5 linked regions of the Oryzias latipes genome follow. The main gene of each other region encodes a partner of the protein of the gene in region 3 in a complex. Links are inferred from orthologs where the notes say so. Each region holds a gene or a part of one and is shown on either strand. Other genes may lie near its edges. The genes, in order: zer1, gps2, F-box-like/WD repeat-containing protein TBL1X, coro2a and hdac3.

The links.
Region 1: F-box-like/WD repeat-containing protein TBL1X (region 3) and zer1 share a complex: the UniProt entries of both Homo sapiens proteins name them as parts of the E3 ubiquitin ligase complex. The link is inferred for Oryzias latipes from reciprocal best matches to the Homo sapiens genes TBL1X and ZER1.
Region 2: F-box-like/WD repeat-containing protein TBL1X (region 3) and gps2 share a complex: the UniProt entries of both Homo sapiens proteins name them as parts of the N-Cor repressor complex. The link is inferred for Oryzias latipes from reciprocal best matches to the Homo sapiens genes TBL1X and GPS2.
Region 4: F-box-like/WD repeat-containing protein TBL1X (region 3) and coro2a share a complex: the UniProt entries of both Homo sapiens proteins name them as parts of the N-Cor repressor complex. The link is inferred for Oryzias latipes from reciprocal best matches to the Homo sapiens genes TBL1X and CORO2A.
Region 5: F-box-like/WD repeat-containing protein TBL1X (region 3) and hdac3 share a complex: the UniProt entries of both Homo sapiens proteins name them as parts of the N-Cor repressor complex. The link is inferred for Oryzias latipes from reciprocal best matches to the Homo sapiens genes TBL1X and HDAC3.

Annotation. Positions count from the first base shown.
Region 1 is NC_019870.2:27,326,342-27,329,854, reverse strand, and holds part of zer1 (protein zer-1 homolog), read right to left. Parts: intron 2,494-3,513; coding exon 2,378-2,493; intron 1,426-2,377; coding exon 1,237-1,425; intron 1-1,236. UniProt on the Homo sapiens protein: Serves as substrate adapter subunit in the E3 ubiquitin ligase complex ZYG11B-CUL2-Elongin BC. Acts to target substrates bearing N-terminal degrons for proteasomal degradation with the first four residues of substrates being the key recognition elements.
Region 2 is NC_019876.2:14,446,273-14,450,539, reverse strand, and holds the start of gps2 (G protein pathway suppressor 2), read right to left. Parts: upstream 2,801-4,267; 5' UTR 2,694-2,800; exon of another isoform or gene 2,634-2,693; intron 2,231-2,633; 5' UTR 2,207-2,230; coding exon 2,086-2,206; intron 1,537-2,085; coding exon 1,427-1,536; intron 1,334-1,426; coding exon 1,221-1,333; intron 1,149-1,220; coding exon 1,069-1,148; intron 957-1,068; coding exon 877-956; intron 3-876; coding exon 1-2. Other genes in the region: gabarap (gamma-aminobutyric acid receptor-associated protein), read right to left, coding at 4,145-4,225. UniProt on the Homo sapiens protein: Key regulator of inflammation, lipid metabolism and mitochondrion homeostasis that acts by inhibiting the activity of the ubiquitin-conjugating enzyme UBE2N/Ubc13, thereby inhibiting 'Lys-63'-linked ubiquitination.
Region 3 is NC_019879.2:24,121,236-24,124,748, forward strand, and holds part of F-box-like/WD repeat-containing protein TBL1X, read right to left. Parts: intron 3,393-3,513; coding exon 3,173-3,392; intron 2,484-3,172; coding exon 2,351-2,483; intron 2,149-2,350; coding exon 2,007-2,148; intron 1,920-2,006; coding exon 1,856-1,919; intron 1,726-1,855; coding exon 1,628-1,725; intron 1,400-1,627; coding exon 1,339-1,399; intron 594-1,338; coding exon 472-593; intron 340-471; coding exon 265-339; intron 191-264; coding exon 63-190; intron 1-62. UniProt on the Homo sapiens protein: F-box-like protein involved in the recruitment of the ubiquitin/19S proteasome complex to nuclear receptor-regulated transcription units. Plays an essential role in transcription activation mediated by nuclear receptors.
Region 4 is NC_019859.2:16,847,922-16,852,111, forward strand, and holds the start of coro2a (coronin-2A), read left to right. Parts: upstream 1-1,378; 5' UTR 1,379-1,628; coding exon 1,629-1,643; intron 1,644-4,190.
Region 5 is NC_019868.2:25,322,756-25,326,973, forward strand, and holds the start of hdac3 (histone deacetylase 3), read right to left. Parts: upstream 2,802-4,218; 5' UTR 2,668-2,801; coding exon 2,613-2,667; intron 1,708-2,612; coding exon 1,625-1,707; intron 1,538-1,624; coding exon 1,395-1,537; intron 1,301-1,394; coding exon 1,219-1,300; intron 1-1,218. UniProt on the Homo sapiens protein: Histone deacetylase that catalyzes the deacetylation of lysine residues on the N-terminal part of the core histones (H2A, H2B, H3 and H4), and some other non-histone substrates.

The sequences.
Region 1 (3,513 bases), on a different chromosome or scaffold from region 3:
AAACATTTTATGGTCATTCTACTGTATCTGCTAAGCCGTGTCTCATCGTTTCCCGCCCTTTGCAGTATGGCGTCGCTCTTGTCGTATCTTGGACAATGGTAACAGGCTAGCGTAGCCTATATAGCCCTTTTGGGAGGAGCGTGGAGCCAGCATTTGCAGCTGGTGACATCGGGTTTGTCAAAAAAGGGAGCAACTGCATGCTGAAGACTTGTTTTTACCGACTAAATATACTTTTAAGGGTTTCAAATCTAAATGGTTATGAAACTATGTCAGAGATCAGGGCTAGGTATCACCAATAATTTCTAGAATCGATTGGATTTAACCAGAGCCTGGATCAATTCTTTCCATCCGCTCGATTTGATTACATTTTAAATGTATACATTTTACACATTTAGAAATATTTGTACAGAAATACAATACTGTAACAGATATTCATATTAATCTCATACAGTTCACATGCTACACATACGGAGAAGCTCCAACAAAAATGTGCAGATAATTAAGAAACCCGTGTTTGGTCTCTATAGCGTTAGACTTTAATCCAGAAGATTTGAGCAAAAAGCTGCGCTTTAGACCACAAATGGTTTTTAAAAAAAAGTTTATTTAAAGGAATCTGCCTGTGAGTATATAAAGCTGTTCATTTATTGTGTTATCATTAGCCGTCCTATGAGAAATTCCATTATACGTTAGCATCAAGCTAGCAGACTTTGGCTTTACTGCCTTCATCTGTCAGATCACCGGAAAGGCATGACAGATTGATCTCTATTTTATGGATTGATTATTGATTTATTACGTTTGGATCTATTCAGATCGATTAATCAATTTTATCAACCCAGCCCTTTCAGAGGCACTAAAACCTCAAGTAGACGGGCGCGAGAACACATCTAAAATGTCTGCAGATTTTGTTCTCGGCTGAGAATAATTCCAGTTAGAAATATTTTAGAAAATTCAAAATCTCTGGAAGGTTCTGGTTTCTAGATGCGGTTTGTGAAGCAACGGTGTAAGAAACGCTGACGGATCAGATTAGTCTTCAGATGTTAGCTACCGTCTGTTACAGCACCTCCTGAGTAGTCAGGATTGCAGGTCTCTGATTGGTCAGAACTGTTTTGAGGGCAGTTCTGGTCTCGGTTCAGCTGGACTGAATCGGTTGTTAGAGATGATGGATTGAAGCCACCGCAAACCAGAGCTGACCTCTGACCCCCTGACACTTCTGATGAGAGGCGACTCTGATCACACCTGTAGTTGATGTTGCGGCGTGAGCTGACGTCCCAGCTCCGGATGGCCTCCCACATCTTGTCCATGACCAGCTCCCGGCGCGGCTCCTGCATGGCCCAAACCTCAGGGCCGTCGAACATGATGTGTGACAGGACACCGCACGCGTTGTACGACACCTCGATCCCGTCAGCCTTGCTGTCCAGCAGGTTGCTGCAACGGAGAGACGAGGAGTTACTTTAGGAAAACCCAACAACCAAGATGGTGTTTTTAACATGTTTTTGTAGCATTTTTTCTGTAGATGAGGACAAATATAAAGAAAGTTAAGCTTAAAATGGCATTTCTGAGTGTTTGTTCAAAGTGTTGTAAAACAGGAGCAGACGATAAAAATGGAGTTTAGAAAAAAGCTTATTTGTAACACAGGAAATATGTTGGGTGAGATAAAAAACTCCCTGCTCTGATCCATTCTGAGAAGAGGGTATAAAGTTTCACTTTAACAATTCGATTCATTTTTATAATTTGTGGTTGCTGATTCGATTCGACCTGATTCATTGACCTAAAATGGATACAGGACATCTTTAGCCAAAATGTCAAATGTCAACCCCTGGTTTCATGCATCCGCTTGCAGGCGACTTTGTTTTCCTGGAAAATCTGGATCAGCACCGTACGGCTGAATAGCTCAGATTTTGCTCGCTAACAGTAATACTAGGTTAGGGTTCTGAGGGGCTGTAAGCTAGCGGGAGAGAAAGCGGAAGTAGAGAGCTCTCTATAACAAGAGGGTTCCAGATCCTCCCCATTTTTCCGATCCCGTCTGCGTTTCCGATCCCGTCTGCGTTTCGAGATCCCACCCATTTTTCTGATCCCGTTTGCGTTTCCGATCCCGTCTGGGTTTCTGATTTCCCCCGCATTTCCAGATTCCACCTGTTTTTCCCATCCCATTTGCGTTTCTGATTCAGTCTGCGTTTCTGATCCTGTCTGTGTAGTGACTGTGATTACTTCTGGTTGTACTGAGATTCCCATTACTCCTAAGTAATACTACTGTAGTCATACTACATGTAAATACTAAATGTGTATGTTAGTTAGACCGTGTAAACAGCAGTGCTTGTGCAGTGCTTGAGCAGTGTTTGTGCAGAAGCAGAGAGCGCCCCCTGCTGCCAGCCTTTACCTAAAGACAGAGATGAACTGCGGCGTGAGCAGCTGTGGCCGCAGAGCCTTGACCTCCGCCACGTTTCCCAGCAGCCCCAGCATGTTGCGATGAAGCTCCTGCTTGTCTGGAAACTCCTGCAGGAAGGAGACGATGCACAGAGAAGAGACGGTCACACTTCTAGAAGGATTTCTCACACTGCAGCGTTTAATCACCTGAAAGTCACGCACTGAACTAATATAGATATATGATTTACATTAAACACATATAGTAAACATATAGTAAACATATAGATCCCCTCCTCTGTATGTGATTTCAAAATGATTCGACAAAATAAACTTTCACTCAATGTTAACAAAATAAATTCATGATTTTTTGGAAATCGCCATATTCCTGCAGATTTAGAAATAAATGTTTCTAATGAAAAGCATGTTCTGGAAAGAGTGACTGAAATTGAGTTTTAGTAGTAATTATGGACAACAAAATAATCTGGAAGCCACATATAAAGCAAGTCAGAGCCAAAATTGGTAAAAGCGTATCAGTGTTGGGAAAAACGTGTCATACAGTCACTCACAAAGCACATCTACAAATATATTCATCCATAATACTACCATATTTACAATACAGTGTAGAAGTTTGGGGAAATACTTATAAAGCAAATCTATAGTGTTTGTATGTCTTACCAAAAAAGACTATTGGAACAGTTTATGGTGTAGATTATGGGACACACACAAACGCACTATTTTTAAAGTTGGTTTATTGAATTTTTGGGAAGTAGTGAAACTTAAAACAGCACACAGCATGTTTAAAGCCAAAAATAACTTGATACCAAAATAAACTTACAGCAAATGTTCAAGGACAGAGATGAGAGTTACAATTTAAGAAAACAGCTGAACAAAAAGCAGAGCACTCATACTTCAAAAAGAAAATGTGCTAATCAACTTGTGGCCTGGATTTATGGAACGGATTGGATGTAAAGAAAGCTAAATAATATAAATAATACAATTAAAATAAAATAAAATAAAAGCTAAATAAAGGATGTTTGTTATTTAAAGCCTGTTTTTTTCTTTTTTCTTATACACAGCATGAAAGAAAACGCAAACATTGAAAGCAGTAATATATAAACAAGCATCATTTTTTTAACAGAAGATGATGAC
Region 2 (4,267 bases), on a different chromosome or scaffold from region 3:
CCCTAGAGATAAGCCAGAGGAAGTGAGAAAACCTGGGAAAAAGAGTGACTTGATTGACAACATTTGATTGACATTTTCCACAAAAAAAAATGTTTTGTGTAGTTGCTAGGCCACCAAAAAAAATTATTTTTCATACACAGTGGGATAAACACTTTAAAAATATATTTTCTGTATTAAAAAGCTGGTTTGGAATTTAGGTAGGGCTTTAGACTCTGACAAAAAGTTGTTAAAAACAGAGTTTCAGCGGTGAACCTTCCATTAACTTACTTTTATTTTCAAAATAAAATAGCTATAAACATGATAAATAGAAGTGCTCGAAAAAGGAGTGGGTACAAGGAAAATCTTATTAATTCCCACCACCAATCTTACTATATTTAATACATACATTTTTACTAATAAAAATTAAAAACATAAAATAACTGAAGGGGAAAAAATAAATAAAAGCATCTAGGAACCAAACATCACATTTCTCCTTTTCTAATTTATACATTTCCAAAATGTTCAGGTTGCACTTTTTTCTCCATTGTGTTTATCATTTTTACTCATTTTCACAGACAGAAATGTTGACTTTTTTGGGCTGTCCGTACACAAGGTTGTTTAAAGAATATCCTCCTTCCTTGTTCTTAAACAGTTTTGTTCTGTGGAGGTGGTTTTGTTTTAGCTTGATACATTTTTTTTGATTTAGAGAATAAAATGTTCATAATAGTCCACTTTATTATTTTTGGTTATATGCAAAGTGGCTATACGCAGGTTTTGTAGGCATTACTCGGGTTAGAACCGAAGTAAAGCAAAGCAGCTTGGCCCAGGCTTTTCCAAACAACAGAACTAAGTAAAGAACTTAACAAGACGTTTTTTTAACAGCCCACTTGTACTTACAGGGATCACGGTTGTTGTGTACAACTGTTTGTTTCTTTCTCCAAGTAGTGCTCCAGCTCGACTGTGGCTCACTGGACTACCTACCCTCAAAAAAAGAAATAAATAAACAAACAAAATGATCTTAGTGCTGAAATTAGCTAACAAAACATACAACCTTTTTATGAAATGTGTATTCATGGTTTAGTAGCTCACCTTGAATATTAAGGAGGTGCTGTCCTGTGTGCATGGGCAGGCTCTGTTGGTAACTGGCAGATGTCAGCGTTGTTATATCACTGATAACAGAAGGAGGCGCAAAATTACAAGAGGCATCATTCGTGGACTAAACAACTGTTGAATGAAAATACCTCTGCTCCTTTCTGCGCCTCTTCTCCTCCTCATGGAGAACCTTTTTGAGTTGCAGAAACAGCTGATGCTTTTCTTCTTGAAGTCCCTGAAGTTTTTCTCCCATTTTCATCACCTGACATCAGGGGAGAAATGTCATTAAAAGGAAGAACTAAAGAGTCAGTTAAAAATCCTAAAATAAGGGTCATCTTTGATGGCAGGTGCTCACCTGTTCTTTGGTTTCCTCTAATGACATCCTTTCCTCTATTTCTTTGGTTCTTTTCCTCTCCTCCTCCTCCTTCAGCTTTTGCTCCATCATTTTATCCACCTCCTCTTCCTCTGAAAGGTTACAGGGACAAGATTTAGCATCACCTGTAACACTTTCACACATCTGAAACATGATAAAGTTACTTGTAATGATAATTGTCAAGAAGGTCAGAGACAGATTTTAGAGACCCACTCCAATGAAAATTATATGTTTGGTATTTTAAACATGTTCTTGTGGCCTTTTTTTTTCATGATAGAGGAGATATATAATTTTTTTTTTATTCAAATCATTGTGAATCAGGAGTAGATGTAAAAACGTCATTGTAAAAAGCTCACAGTTTTGACATAGACCCAACAGCAAGCCACAAGCAGCCTGCTCTGCTCCATTATGAGGCCTCCACTTGGAGGCAAAAAAAATCCATGTGAGGTACTGTTGTTCTGCAAAAACTACGTCCTAGAAAACGATACAGACTTTTTGATTTAGCCTAAAACCGGCAGAATCATAATAAACTGGCCACTGGGAACGCTTTTAAAACAGATCAAGATTTGATTGGAGTGGGCCTTAAATGAAATCTCCTAGAAAATCAAAGAAGAATGATTATTTCTGTTCGGTTAACTTACTTCTCCTTTTCATTTGATGACACTGACCTTGTCTTTTGCGCTCCCTCTCCCTCATGATGTGCTTGTGGAGGGCTCTGGCCATCGCGTTGGACAGTTTCGGTCTCTCCAACAAGGCAGGCATGGTCACTGGTAACGGAGGGGCCAGCTGTTTTAAAGTTCAGAGGTTTAGTATAAGTGGGCTAAAAAGACTCAAGTAATTTTACTGAAAATTGAACTAAATAAACCTTTTAATCTGTTTTGGAAGGGTTTATACCGAGCCATGACCTAGCTTAATTTAAACAAGTACTGCGTGATGCTAGCCTGAACAAGGATAAGACGGCAAAATCTTTAAAAATAATAAACCCGCTAATCTAGCAGCAAAATTTAACATGAATGTTTGTGATAAGTAAGATACGTCCAAGACAAACATGCGTATATCTGTGTGCAAAAAGACCCAATTGTTAGCTAAAGTTAGCCACACCAGCTAAACAAATAAGTGCGCGACGGAGTTTATACTATATTATTTTAATGCTTGCTAACAGCTAATTTATTTCAGAAAAGATGCTTACTTTTATCGTTAATGTTGCCGTTTTTAAGAACCAGACTGTGTCGCCTTTTGTAATATCTACCTTTTTGCTTTTATCCGGCAAAACTTTCGGCCGCGAATATAAACAGAGGTTTTAGGACCGGGGGAAAGAGTTCTACTTCCGGTTAAAAGACACGGCTGCCCCATTTGCATCATGGGAATTTGCGTTTCAATGTGGAGTTTAAATTCAGACCAACACTTTTAGATCTTCTAAATCTAGCTTAAGTGGATTTCAGAAGTCACATTTTGAACTACAGAATTTAAAAACAGTATTAATTGTAAAATAAAAATGTTGCACTCATATTTTTAAATTTAAGTTAGCCTATATTTTGTAATAAGGACATTCCAATGCCCCCATTTTTTAATAACTTTCTCTATATTTACAGACTATATATATAACCTTTTTTTTATACTAACAGCCACGTACTTCTAAAATCAAAAGACCAAACTTACCTAGGTTTATCAAGAGAGATAAAATACTTTAAACATATTCCTATTTTTCTTTTGTATGTTTTGTTTAACTTTCATATCAAAGATAGGCAACAGTTTTTCCATTTAGGACTAGATCCCACCTTTTTTTAATGACCTTTTAATCTTAATGTAATTTTTTTACTATCCAGTAAAATCATCAGACCATAAAAAAAGTCAGGAAACAAATATCAACTTTCATAACATTTTATCATATACGATCATGAGTGGAGAGAAAGAGCCATTAATGCAGCCGTATACAGAGTTCTACTGTAAATCCTTTTTAAAAAATAAGAAACTTAAAAAGAAAATTACACTCAGCTTTACAACTTCTTTAGAAAGTGAGCCACCTAAAATTAACAATAATAACAACAATAATCATATTAGCTGTCAAAATAATTTTACCACTGAAAGCAGAGAATGATTGAGCAGTCTGAATCCTATTATAGTCCTCGCAAAGATTAAATATGAGGAAGGAAATACTAGTGTTTTGGGATTTAACAATTTAATAAAAATAAAGCTTACCGTGACCTCTTTAAATTTAAAATAAAATAAATCAAAAGGAAAAAAAAAAAAGATCACTACCGCTGGCAGCACTATCACTATTCTTTTGAAAATTATTGACTTTAAAACATAAACCAAAATCTTTTTCATCATCAAAGTCTTGTCAAAATTTGACAAGCACTATTTATACTTATTACCAGGCAGGGGTCAATTTAACTCAACAAATTCTGCCTCTGTTTTCTGCACTCAGAAGTAAATACAAGCGCATAGCGGTTGAGATTTTATTTTCACTTTTCTTTATCAGGCATTCTGTGGAGTACGATTCCCAAAAACCAAACCAGAGAAGGCAAATACAATTCAGACTGCAAAATAGAAAAAGTCATAAATGAATATGTAAAAGATTGTGTTTGTGAGAAGTGAAAGTGCAGATGACATTTACTCTGGGAACTCTACACTGCCAAGCTGGATTTTACTTTTTAAATGAATGAATGACAAAGGTCTCAGAAAGGTGGTTGAAGGGGATCACATTTCCCTTTGGCTGTTCCCATACACACTCTCATCACTGTAGGCAATGTAGAGGAAAAAGTCCTCTTCGTGGTGCTCCTGAGGAAATCAAATAGAGTAAAATAAGAGGAACAGAGGAAA
Region 3 (3,513 bases):
CGACAGCAGAACCCAGACTACCAAAAGCTGAGTAACTCTGCATTACAGGTCAGGTTTCCTACCTGGCGAGCATGATGTTGGAGTTGGGATTATTTGTGCTGGGCCCTGTGGGACTCCACTTAATAGTGTAGATTTCTTTACTGTGAGCCTGGAGGTCGTGGACGCAGGAATCCTGTTTCATGCTCCAAATCTGCGTGCGACATTATGAAAATAAGCCGCCGTATTCAACTTTCAGCGCCTCACATCCGTGTGGACCCCTCTCACCTTTAAGGTCATGTCGTCTGAGCAGGAGGCCAGCAGCATACCCGATGGATCCCACTTGATGGCGTTGACTTCATTCTGAAAAACGCGGCGGCACTGGTTAGGTGAGGGGCTGCGGCAGCCTGGACTGAAACGAGGTCAGGGTGTGTGTGTGTGTGTGTGTGTGTGGGGGGGGGGGGGGGGGGGGGGGGGGGCGGAGGACGCGCTCACCGTGTGGCCCTGGAAGGTCTTGAGGGGCCGGTCGCTGCCCAGGCGGCACACGTGGATGCACATGTCTGTGCTGCAGGAGGCAAAGGTGGTGTTGTTCTGCCAGTCCACATCCAGCGCCGGAGCTGCGGAAGCATTCACACGCCGTCAGGACTCACGACAACACCCAACTAAACAAAGGCTTTTATTCTGGTAAATGATGCTAACAGGAAATAGACTGAAAGCAGAGCAGAGGCTAAAACTTTACTCCTTTAGATGAGTTTTTCCAGCTTGGTTTTTAAGGTTTTAATAAGGAGCCACTGTTTCAGACTCAGGCCGACTCATTCAAGAAATATTAAGTCTCATATTCTTAGAAAACTCTCATATTAGCTTTTGAGAAACCTTCTATTTCTAAATTACACCAGGAACCAAAGCAGAGAAAGTAAGCGTAAAGGGGAAAGCCTTACATTTAATTCTAATGAATGGATTACATTCATTAATCCCACAGCCCTAATTACAATCACTGTATTTTCTTAAATAAAAACATAATTTTAGGTTTTTCTTTTCTTAATTTGCAAATACTGTAATAGGTTTGACTTTTTAAAAAATATATATTTCTACTAATCCAAACAGGTATACTTTTAATAGTATTAAAACATAATGTAAAATGCAATACAAATGTATTTTAAAATAAGGTTTTTTTGTTTTTTCTACAGGACTCATATGTGACATTTGGGACCATTTGTGTCACAACAAAAACACAAAAAAAACTTTTTTCTTCCTCAGCGGGTCAAAAAGTGCCATTAGAACCTGGTTTTATCTTTTAGAGTGGAAAGCTACAGCGATGGAGGTAACGGGTTTTATTTTCTACCAGGGAGTAGTCTCACTCACCTGAGTGAAAAGGAAACTGCTGCTTGGCTTCCCCGGTGTGTGCATCCCAAATGATTGTCGTCTGGAAGATTGGAAAAAAAAAAAGGTCATTTCAACAACATTTCCCAGCATTCACTGTCAGTTTTAAACAGAACTCTGATGCCTGCATAACTTATTGAGGTGAGATTCTTAGTTTTAGTCTTTAACGAAAGACTTGATAGTAGAATTTGCTCTGCAGTTTATGGATAACATTTTTAGATTTAACAACAAAAAAGTCAAATTATTTAAGAACACAGCATAAAAGAAGTACCTTATCCACACCAGCGCTGAGGATGGAGTTTCCCTTCTTGTTCCACTTCAGTGCAAATATGGGTCCTTTGTGTTGCCCCAGAGTGCTGGCCAGATTTCCTGATGAATTAAATTTAAATTAATGAACTTTCTTAAACATTTTCTAAAACTAAACCAATATTGTTTGGGTTTTTCACAAAAAGAAGGATGACCAGGGAAGGAGAGAGTGTGACAGCGATGGATGGCATACCGTCCTTGGTCCATATCCTGGCAAATCCATCATATGAACCTGTAGCCAGCAGGGTCCCGTCGCTCTGTCGGATGGAAGCAAAACATCTCTGTTACTCGTCTGTCCTCAGCTGAGGAAAAAAGACGAGAGATGAGCGGATGCCAAAGCTCACATTCCAGTCCAGTGAGGTGACGTCTTTGTTGCTGGGGACATCCTGGCCGCCCTCTCTGATGCAGTGGCGCAGCACCAGCTGGGTGGAGTTGGAGTTGGTGTTCTCATTGAGGTTCCAGATGCGGGCGGTGGAGTCGCCCGAGCTGAACAGCAAACACAGGGAGGTCAGGATGCAGAATGAAGAAAACCTGCACTTCTTGTCTGACAGACCTTTTATTTTTGTTACAGTAAAAATGTTCTTGAATAAGTGAAAACGTTGATAATCTCATCAGGTAAAACATTGACTCTTGCACACAAAAAAGGCTCAGAAAAATAAAAACAGGTAATCTGGAGCAGGGGACCCACCCAGAGGCCAACAAGTCGCTGACGGGGTTCCAGGCACAGATAAAGACTTCAGACTCGTGGCCTCGCAGCACTGTGGCTTTACTGGCTGGTATCTCAATGTCAACATCCGTCTCCATGGGCTCCCTGTGGTTATCTGAGGAGAGTGTACGCCATTAGAGCTGCACCATAAATCGCCAAAACCACACCTCCAGGTTGCAATGTCCATATGATCTAGTAAATATGAACAAGTACATCAGTTACTGGGATTTCAGTGTGCTGCTTCTACAGAATTACAACAGTAAATATGTATTTTATTTTTTAAAATAGCTTTCTTGTATTTCTGTTTTTCCTACTAAATTGCATACTTAAGCTTCAGTTTCTTTGTTGTGAGTTTCTAAATAAACTTTGAAGTAAAAACGGGGGAAAAATGTCCTATTTGAGTTTTGGAATCATGTCTGCAAATTCTACACATTTCCTTTGACCTTAACATTCTCCTCCTGCTGCCATCTGGTGACCGTAAATTCTTATAAAGAATGGAAAAAAAACAAAAAACATCTACTCCTTGTTCTCTTTGTCTGTTCCTCCACCTGATCTGCTCCTCTCTGATTTCAGCCACAAAAGAAATGGACAGCGCCTTGTTATCACGTATGATTAATGACAGGGCGGCTGTAGGTCTAAAGAGTTAAACCGCACAAGAATTTTGAATTTAAGTTTAAGTACAGCCACTGGTGTGAAAAAGAAAAAAGTTTTTTTTTACACGAAAGCTTTTACACGAGAAGTCTGCTCTCCGATTCCCTCCTCTTCCGGCCCTGCTGCGAGGTGATGGGAGAAAACTGGACCTACTCATGGCGTGAGTGCCGTTCTCCTCTCCGTTTACGGTGGCTTCTCCGTTCTTTGGTGCATTTGGCTGGTTCCCAGAAGTTGAAGCTGCAGTGGTGCATGCAGCCTGCTGCTGGGCGAGTTTGTCGCGGAAAGCCTGCTGCCGCGTTTGCACCACGTCTGGCATCACTGCGTCGATGAGCGACAGCGACTCGATGGGTCGACCGTCGAAGACCGTACCGTCCTGGAACGAGTCGCTACAATTAGTGACACTGTGGAACGGCTTATAAGAGGCAAACAACGTTTTTAAAAGCTTCCTCCAGGTCTCTGACACGTGAAAACAGTTTAATGTTAAAATACATCCA
Region 4 (4,190 bases), on a different chromosome or scaffold from region 3:
AAATCTTCCTGTAATGACCGACTTTCATCACTAGAGGGCAACAAATTCCTCAAGATGAAGAGAAACCAAACCTCAAACCCATGAAATGACTTTCTGCAAGGCCTTTTTCATAATATTAACAGAAAAGCAAGGGATTGGTGTGGTTGGTGTTTATATAAACTTAAGCTAATACTTAAAATGCTCTTTTCCACACTGGAAACTAAAGAAAAGTGATTGTTTTCATGCTGTCAGCACAGCAGTTTCACTCCCTTCACTGATCCGAAAGTCCTGCAGACACACTGATGTTCAGCTCTTTCTTTCCTTTTGTGCTCCTGTCTGCAAATCCACAATTCCCCATACATCAAAACTACTCATACAAGTTGAGATTGAATCCTATTTGAAACATTATCTGGAGTTTGATTCATTTAGTTTAAAAATGGTTTTGATTAAATAATGTTTCATTTCATTTTAAATAAAAAGCTGCTCATGCAGGTGGAGGTTGACTGAAGGGTGAAGCTCCGAATGTTTATTTAGAGCCGGGCTCTACAACCTGAGGCTCCGGCGCCACATTGTGGCTCTTTGGCTTAGAAAACAAATGCACATAATTTGAATAATTACTGGGTTTGTTGTTTTGGTTCATTTCATTAGGATTATGTTTAGATTTTTAACATGTCAAATCACTGAGAAAAATGATGGTAAAGCGTTTAATCTACTGTGCATCCATCCATAATGATAGAAAGTTTGACTTTATTATACACTTTAAGTAAATCTGCTGCAGCAGGAAGACACACAGTGTATTTTATTTTGAAAGGAACTAGGATGTGCTGCTGGTAAAAGTAAAAGAAGTCAAGATTGTTGATTATAGAAAAAACAACTGTTGTCATTCAATTATTAATATTTATAAACTACTTTTATTCAGAAATGGCTTAATGGTCACAAAACATATAAAAAAGTATTTTTTCTAAAGGTGAAGTTTAGTTCTTGCTTGGTTTTCGTCATTAAAAAACTGGACCAAATGGCTCTTTTAGCGTTAAAAGGTTTGAAATGGATGTCCCAACGGTGACGTCATAATCCCACGTCAAGGTGGATTGATTCAGAATCTCCATTATTTTAGATCTCTACCCTTTACAAGTGGCTGAACTGGGACTAAAAGTGAAACTTAGATTACAAATTTTTTACATATTTTTTTAACTTTTTAAATGCTTCTGATATTAAAGCTATACAGCTTTAACGATTTGTATTGTTTAGCGGATCGTTTTGTGTTTTTATTTTGAAAAATCTTTGTGCGCGCGTGAAACCAAACTGATCTCCTGGCCCCTCCCTCCCTCCCCCTCCCCTCTCCCGCTCGTCCTCCTCTGGAAGCATCCTGTCTCTCCTCACATCTACCTCATGATCCACCGCCCTCCTCTTCCTCCTCCTCTTTGTTTTTTTCTTTTTTCCCGCGGTGGCGGTGCGTTTGTCCTGTTAGTTCCCGCTTGCTGCTGTTGTTGTTTGTCCACATCTGGGACCGTCAAGGTTAAACCGGGCGGTATGACTTAGTTTCTCCATAACGCTGCTTGTACTACTGGGAGGAGTGCCTGAATAAAAAAAGCCGGGTCCAGCAGCCGCTTCACACCACCTCCTGCCGCCTCCGCCTCCGCCTGCGCCCCATGACTGTTTCGAAGGTGAGTTCCCCGCAGAAGGTGGCAGCTCCGTCCCGGGGAGCGGCTGCCATGAGCGGACAGCTCTCCGGGGTGGAGCCGGCTCTTCCACCCGTCACCTCCAACTGTCAAACATCAGTGAAGTTTGTTGTTATTTTTTTCTTGCTTGGTTATAAATGACCCCTCCGGGTCTCTGTGACAGTGACATCATCTTTGTTTTTGTAGTGATGAAGCACAAACTCAAAAGGACAAACTAACCTTTTGTTTATTGTTATTATTTTCATTTATTGTGCTTCTAACATTTAGTGATTTATTGTGTTTTACTTTTGAAACTGTACAGTGGCCTTGAGTGTTTTAAAGGAGCTTTTAAATAAAATTCATAATGATTATTACCCAAATTAATCTTTTATATATATATATATATATATATATTAGTATTTTTAATATATGTTTAAAATTAAAGACCCACTCCAATGAAAAAATGCAGTTGGAAACAGTCAAACAGTGATGTTGGTGCAACAGCCTGCAGACTACAAGCTGGCTGCTCCGCTCCATTCCCATGCATCCACCTCCAGACCACTAGATCCGTCTTTGTGTTCCTCGTCTAAGCTGGACTCTGATTCTAATCTGTATGACTGCATAGCTCCGACATACATCACCTTTTTGGTTGCTCTGCTAATGTTAGGTTGGGGTTGTGAGGGATTGTAAGCTAGCGGGGGTGAGTGTAAACAGATGGATGATGGGAAACGAGGGTAGGCTTACTCTGCACAAACAGTCCCGCCCGCAACTCATAGGCAAATGATTGATGAACTCCTGGCGCTCTGCAGAAATTATGTCCTAGAAAACGACATAGGTTTTTGGATTTTGGATAAAACACGCATAGTTATAATTAAAAGAGTGGGACCTTATCGATGAATATGTTTGATATTTATTAGGCCTGCACAATATACCGCAAATTTATCGTTATCGCAATATCAAGCGGTGCAATATCCTTATCGCAAAAGACAGTGAAAATTGCAATAAATGGTTACTTTAAATGTGCTAAAACAATCTTATGGCAACTTGAAGTATTTAAAGAATCAAATAAATCCCTTAATGTGTTTGACCAATCGGAGTGACCCCTCACGTTGTTGACCAATCGGGTGGAGCCCTATTATGTTAGATGTTCTCCTCCTAAGTCGATGAGGGTCATTTGGAGTATAATTTTTAAACTGTTGCAATGAAATGGGAATGATGTTTTTGGTTGTTTTGCTCTTTGTTTCTATACTGCAAATTATATCGTTTTCGCAATATTAATCACCAATATCGCATATCGCGAGTTTTCCTCATATCGTGCAGCTCCAATATTTATTTTTACAATTCCATATTTATTTGATTTAGAGCTGCAGGTTTCAAACAACCAGCTATTTTGACTGAGAAGAGATGAAACTTATTAATATAGTGAAGACATTTTAATCAGAAGAAAGAATTTTTTGCTTAAAAAAATACAAATATTTGCTTTAAAGAACAATTAATAAATAAAAACTCGATGTATTGCATTTTTAAATGAAGATTAATTTAATTTCAGTTAATCCCATTTACTAGACTCACTGTATCCTCGTTTGGGGGTCCTGAGGTGATTAATGTCTTTATCAAACCATCTAAGATTGATTATTTGTGCATTTTATTATTGATCTAACTTGTTCAGATAAGCATTTGGAAAGACTTAAGCTAGATCTTTATTTACAGTCTTTAACAATGTGAAGTCTAATGAGCAAAATATTATATTAAAACACATTTTTTCTTTGACAATGTATTTTTTTAAAGAAACAGTTCTTCATAATACAGAAGCTTCATATTAAAAATGACAGTTGTTGGAGCAACAAGATCATTTTTAGCTCCACATCTAAAAACTATTTTGGTTCTATCAACGTGCAGATCTAGTATTTCAGCAATTCCTAGGATGTCTGGCTTTTCAACTGAGGCATCAGTTTTCTGTTTGACATCAGTTCACTTTCAGGTGTAGTTATACTTGGATCACAGACGGAGAACGATCATATCTGCTATTTTTAGCATCGGGAGGTCATCTGCTGAACCTTTGCAGCTGTGAGTTGATGTGTGCGTGTAAAAAAGAAAAAAGAGCCCTTACTCATAAACCTTACTGTCAGTAAGTAAAGGTTTGTCAGAATCCATCCATCCATGCATCCATCCATCCATCCATCCATCCATCCATCCATGCATCCATCCATCCATGCATCCATCCATGCATCCATCCATCCATCCATCCATGCATCCATCCATCCATCCATCCATCCATCCATCCATCCATCCATCCATCCATCCATCCATGCATCCATCCATCCATCCATCCATCCATCCATCCATGCATCCATCCATGCATCCATCCATCCATCCATCCATCCATGCATCCATCCATGCATCCATGCATCCATCCATGCATCCATCCATCCATCCATGCATCCATCCATCCATCCATGCATCCATCCATCCATCCATCCATCCATGCATCCATCCATCCATCCATGCATCCATCCATGCATCCATCATCCATCCATCCATCCATCCATCCAT
Region 5 (4,218 bases), on a different chromosome or scaffold from region 3:
CTAAAAATGTTTTTATTTTTATTCTGTTGCAGTTTCAATAATTATAAATAAAAGGTAAATGACACTCCAATGATTCCAGGTTTTTCAATAAAGTACATCTTTCGTCTTTTTACTGTCTCAGATGAAAGGAAACGAGCGGCTGGAGTCACCGTTTTAAACTTTTAATTCCAATAAAGAAGCCCTGTTTACACAGAAAACAGCTACGAAATGTAGGACTTTCTTTTTAGACAGAAATAAAGAAAATGATTTAGAAATGTCTTCCAAGATGTCTATAAAAGGTTGGCATTGAAAGCTGCTTTGCTGCTGCTTTTCAGTCCAAACCAGCTTAATGTTCCGAATCAGAACCAAACAGTGAAGGACCATGTTTTACTATAAAGCAGCTCAAAACTGGATCAGCTGTCCTGATGATGACAAACGTCTACTCAATGATATTGTTTTCTGTATGTATATCTGTGGATTGATATACATCCATGGATGTCTGTGGTGACAGTCGGATAACTCCTCACTTTCACACATTTGCACACTAGGAGAATAAATCCAGTTTTATAGAATGCAAACAAAGATCTGATGATGATTTGGCACAGAGGAGATTGATTGACAAGGTCAACAGCGAATCAGGACGCAGAACACAATGTGCTGTTAAAAAATGAGATCGCCACAAATGAAGACAAATGCAAATTTCCAAACATTTCCAGCTTCATGCTGACAACTTTGGCTGTTTTTTCCCCAAACATTTGCTGAAACTATTTTTTTAAGACGCAGCTTGAAAATAACATTGTTTTTTTTTATATTTTTAAGAACTGAAGCTGCTATGTTTGTTACAAACTCCAGAATATTTAACTATTAACTCTATTAATGCTGCAAAAACATGTAAAAAAAACCAAACATTTAGCTTATTTGTGACCTTCCTGTGAGTAACGATGTTTGATAAATAATAAGCAAACCATTTTCTTTTTTAAATGATTGCGTTGAATGTGGCTGAAGGTTCTCGTTTATCCGGGTGACGCAGTTTGGAATATTTCCTCGGTCTAATAGAGAAATCGTTCAGTATGATGATCGATTGTGGTGTAAAAAATCTGCAGCCCTTTATGATCATGTAAACATTTAAAGTCTGACCCTGTGAATAATTCCTAAATGGAGCTGAATATCCGTTACTAGAGGAGTCCATGAGTGACGGTTCATGACAAACCCAGTGATGGAGAAAAGCGGACGGCTTACCTTGTGGTTGAGCTGCGTGGCGCCCTGCAGAGACGCCCCCGTGTATCTGGAACAGAACTCAAAGAGTCCTGGAAACACAGGACTAGAGCCCGCCGTTGGGTTAGTGCTCACATTTGCATGAACCAAAAGCAGAAGACAGATCGATGAAGAGGAGGAGCAGCAGCAGCAGCGCTCACCAGTCATCTCCAACGTTGAAGGTGTTCAGGCTCTTGGTGAAGCCCTGCATGTTGTTGGGGCTGACCTTCTGCAGGAAGTCGATGTAATCTTCAGAGTGGAACCGGCACATGTCGTGCTGAGAGGCTTTGTACGGCTTAAAAACCTGACGGTCACAGAGAAACTGCAGAGTTCAATCTTTGATCTCGAAGCAACAGTGGAAGCAGGTTCTGGACCTTCAGGAGTGTCTCACCATCATCTTTTTATATAACCCATAATGCAACACCAGACTGTGGGTGAGAGACAAACGGTGAGGCTTCATGGGATGACCGGCACCTGCAGGAGACGCGGTTCACAACAAGCATCATCACTTTTTCATCATCAGCTCCATTTCAACATGATTACACTTCCAACGCGTTTTCACGACCAACAGGAAAGAAGATTAAAAAAAATGCTGCAGAATCCCTCCATTTAGTTTGAATCTGCTGCAGCTGTCGGTTCTGTAAATGTTTGTTTGTTGTTGTCTTTTCTTTTTAGACCTATAAAAACCAGAGAAACCACGATCACACTCTGTCAACAATCGTTTTGTCAATCAGAGGCCGTGAATGCTTTGGGACAAACACTTGTTTTAGATTTTGGTCTCCATTTTTATCCTGCAGTGATCAGCTCTTTGTGGACTCACAGCAGCTTTGAACTGAGCTCACACTAATAAAAAAACCAAATCAATGATAATCCCAAACTGTTCAGAGATTATAAACAGCTGGAAGTGATTAAGACCTAAAAGTTTTCATGATAACAGAAACGGGTAAGGACATAATTAATTATTATTAACCTTTCTATTACCTAAATCTAGAATCAGTACTCCTCAGCTTAATTGGTATATAGTATAATAGCCCATTCCTGTATAGAATACAAATTGCAAATATGTTGCCTGGAAATAACCAACTCAGTCAGGGTTTAAAAACACCAACAGATAACCCTAAGTATCTACATACACTCCTGCCGTGGGCAGGATCGCTACAATATTCTTTTCCTTTGCACCCAAATGTGACGTTATGTGTTCATTACTCACCTACAACACACTGGCCTGAACATATGAATGAGATAAAAAAAAATATCTTAATTAAACCCAGAAACAAAATTGGAGCTGAATTTTAACAATGAATCGTTTGAATTGTTAGCCTCCTCCAGCTAGCTTGCATTAGCACTCCTGCTCCAATCCCAGCGTTCAGCAAACTCACCGTAATGAAAGTTTCCCACATCTGGGTCGTAAAAGTAAGACGTCCTAATAGACATTTTAAATGTAAAAAAAATAATAATAATCCTGAGATTCAGCGAGGTTTTACTTTTTAAAGAGCGGCTCAGTCTGCCGCATTTTTCCTGCCGCTAACGGCTAACCGTAAACATTTAAAGGTGACGTCATCATGCTGGGACGCAGGGGATGGAGAGGGGAGGGGCGAACAGGGGGTCTCAAGATGGCGGAGTGAGTTTAAACCAATGAGTGATGATCACTAGAGGAAACATCACGTGGTTCCTCATGGGAGGAGAGCACCGCCATCTTGGTGAGGTCAAGTTACTGCTGCAGTGAATGCATTTGAACACATTTTTTGCATAATACCAGTTCATTGTTTGTGTTTCAACTGCCAAAATCAGAGAACTGAGTCCATGAAAGAAGAAGTATATCATTTCATAGAAAAGTATTATAATTTTTTTCTTTTGTTTCTTTCTTTTTCTTTTGTTTTTCTTTTATTAATAGAACACATGTTGACATGCATGATGCTGCAGGGTTATTATCAACATGCTGCATGATGTACGGAGAATTTGCTGTCGACATAAATGTACATTTTATTTTGCTAAACCTGTATACAGCATACTAGGCTATTATAGTAATATAGATTTATACATGTCTGACTCAGTGACCGAACTTTTCACTATTCACTATTCAGACTTAAGGAAAAAGTGGATCTTAGCAATAAAAAGAGCTAACCCAGATGGATCACTGTGGTACCAACTAGTAATACAGTCTGACTGTTCAAAACATTTGTGGAAACCAATTTAGATAAGAGGCCAGACTGTTAGCTTGAAACCTGACACCATACCATCTGTGTTACACAAATTGATCACTCACATGAATCTATTATTTTTCTTTGTTGTTGTTATTTTAGGGTAAATCTATTGTTCACTTTTGGAATTCTTTTGAATATTTATTTTATTATTATTATTATTATTATTATTATTATTATTATTATTATTATTATTATTATTAATAATAATAATAATAATAATAATAATAATAATAATAATAATAATAATAGACTTATATTTTATTATTTATTGACTTATTATGTATGTATTGCTATTATTTATTGTTTGTATTGACTTACTATTGATTTATTATTATTATTATTATTATTATTATTATTATTATTATTATTATTGAGTTATTGTTGGGTTTTTCTAAATAATTTAAATTACATGTCAAAGAGGTCTAAAATTCCTAAATGTTTACAAATTATTTTTTTTTAATTCTTTGTAATAATTTTTTTATTTGTAAGAAGTCCTGCAACAATGCATTTTCATTAAAGTTTGAGCTTTTAAGGCTGACTGTTTCTCTTCTTTAACAACAACAAATGATGTATCTATATATATATATATATTATATATATAAATATAATGTATTTACATATATTTATAAATATATATAAATTGTAAAAACATATATAGTATATAAAAGCTACTTAGACACCTCTAAAAGCAATAGAAATCATTGTCATGTGGGCGTCGTCGACCTCACCAAGATGGCGTCGCGCTCCGCCACCGTCGGCCAGGCTTCTAAAGCGGGCATGT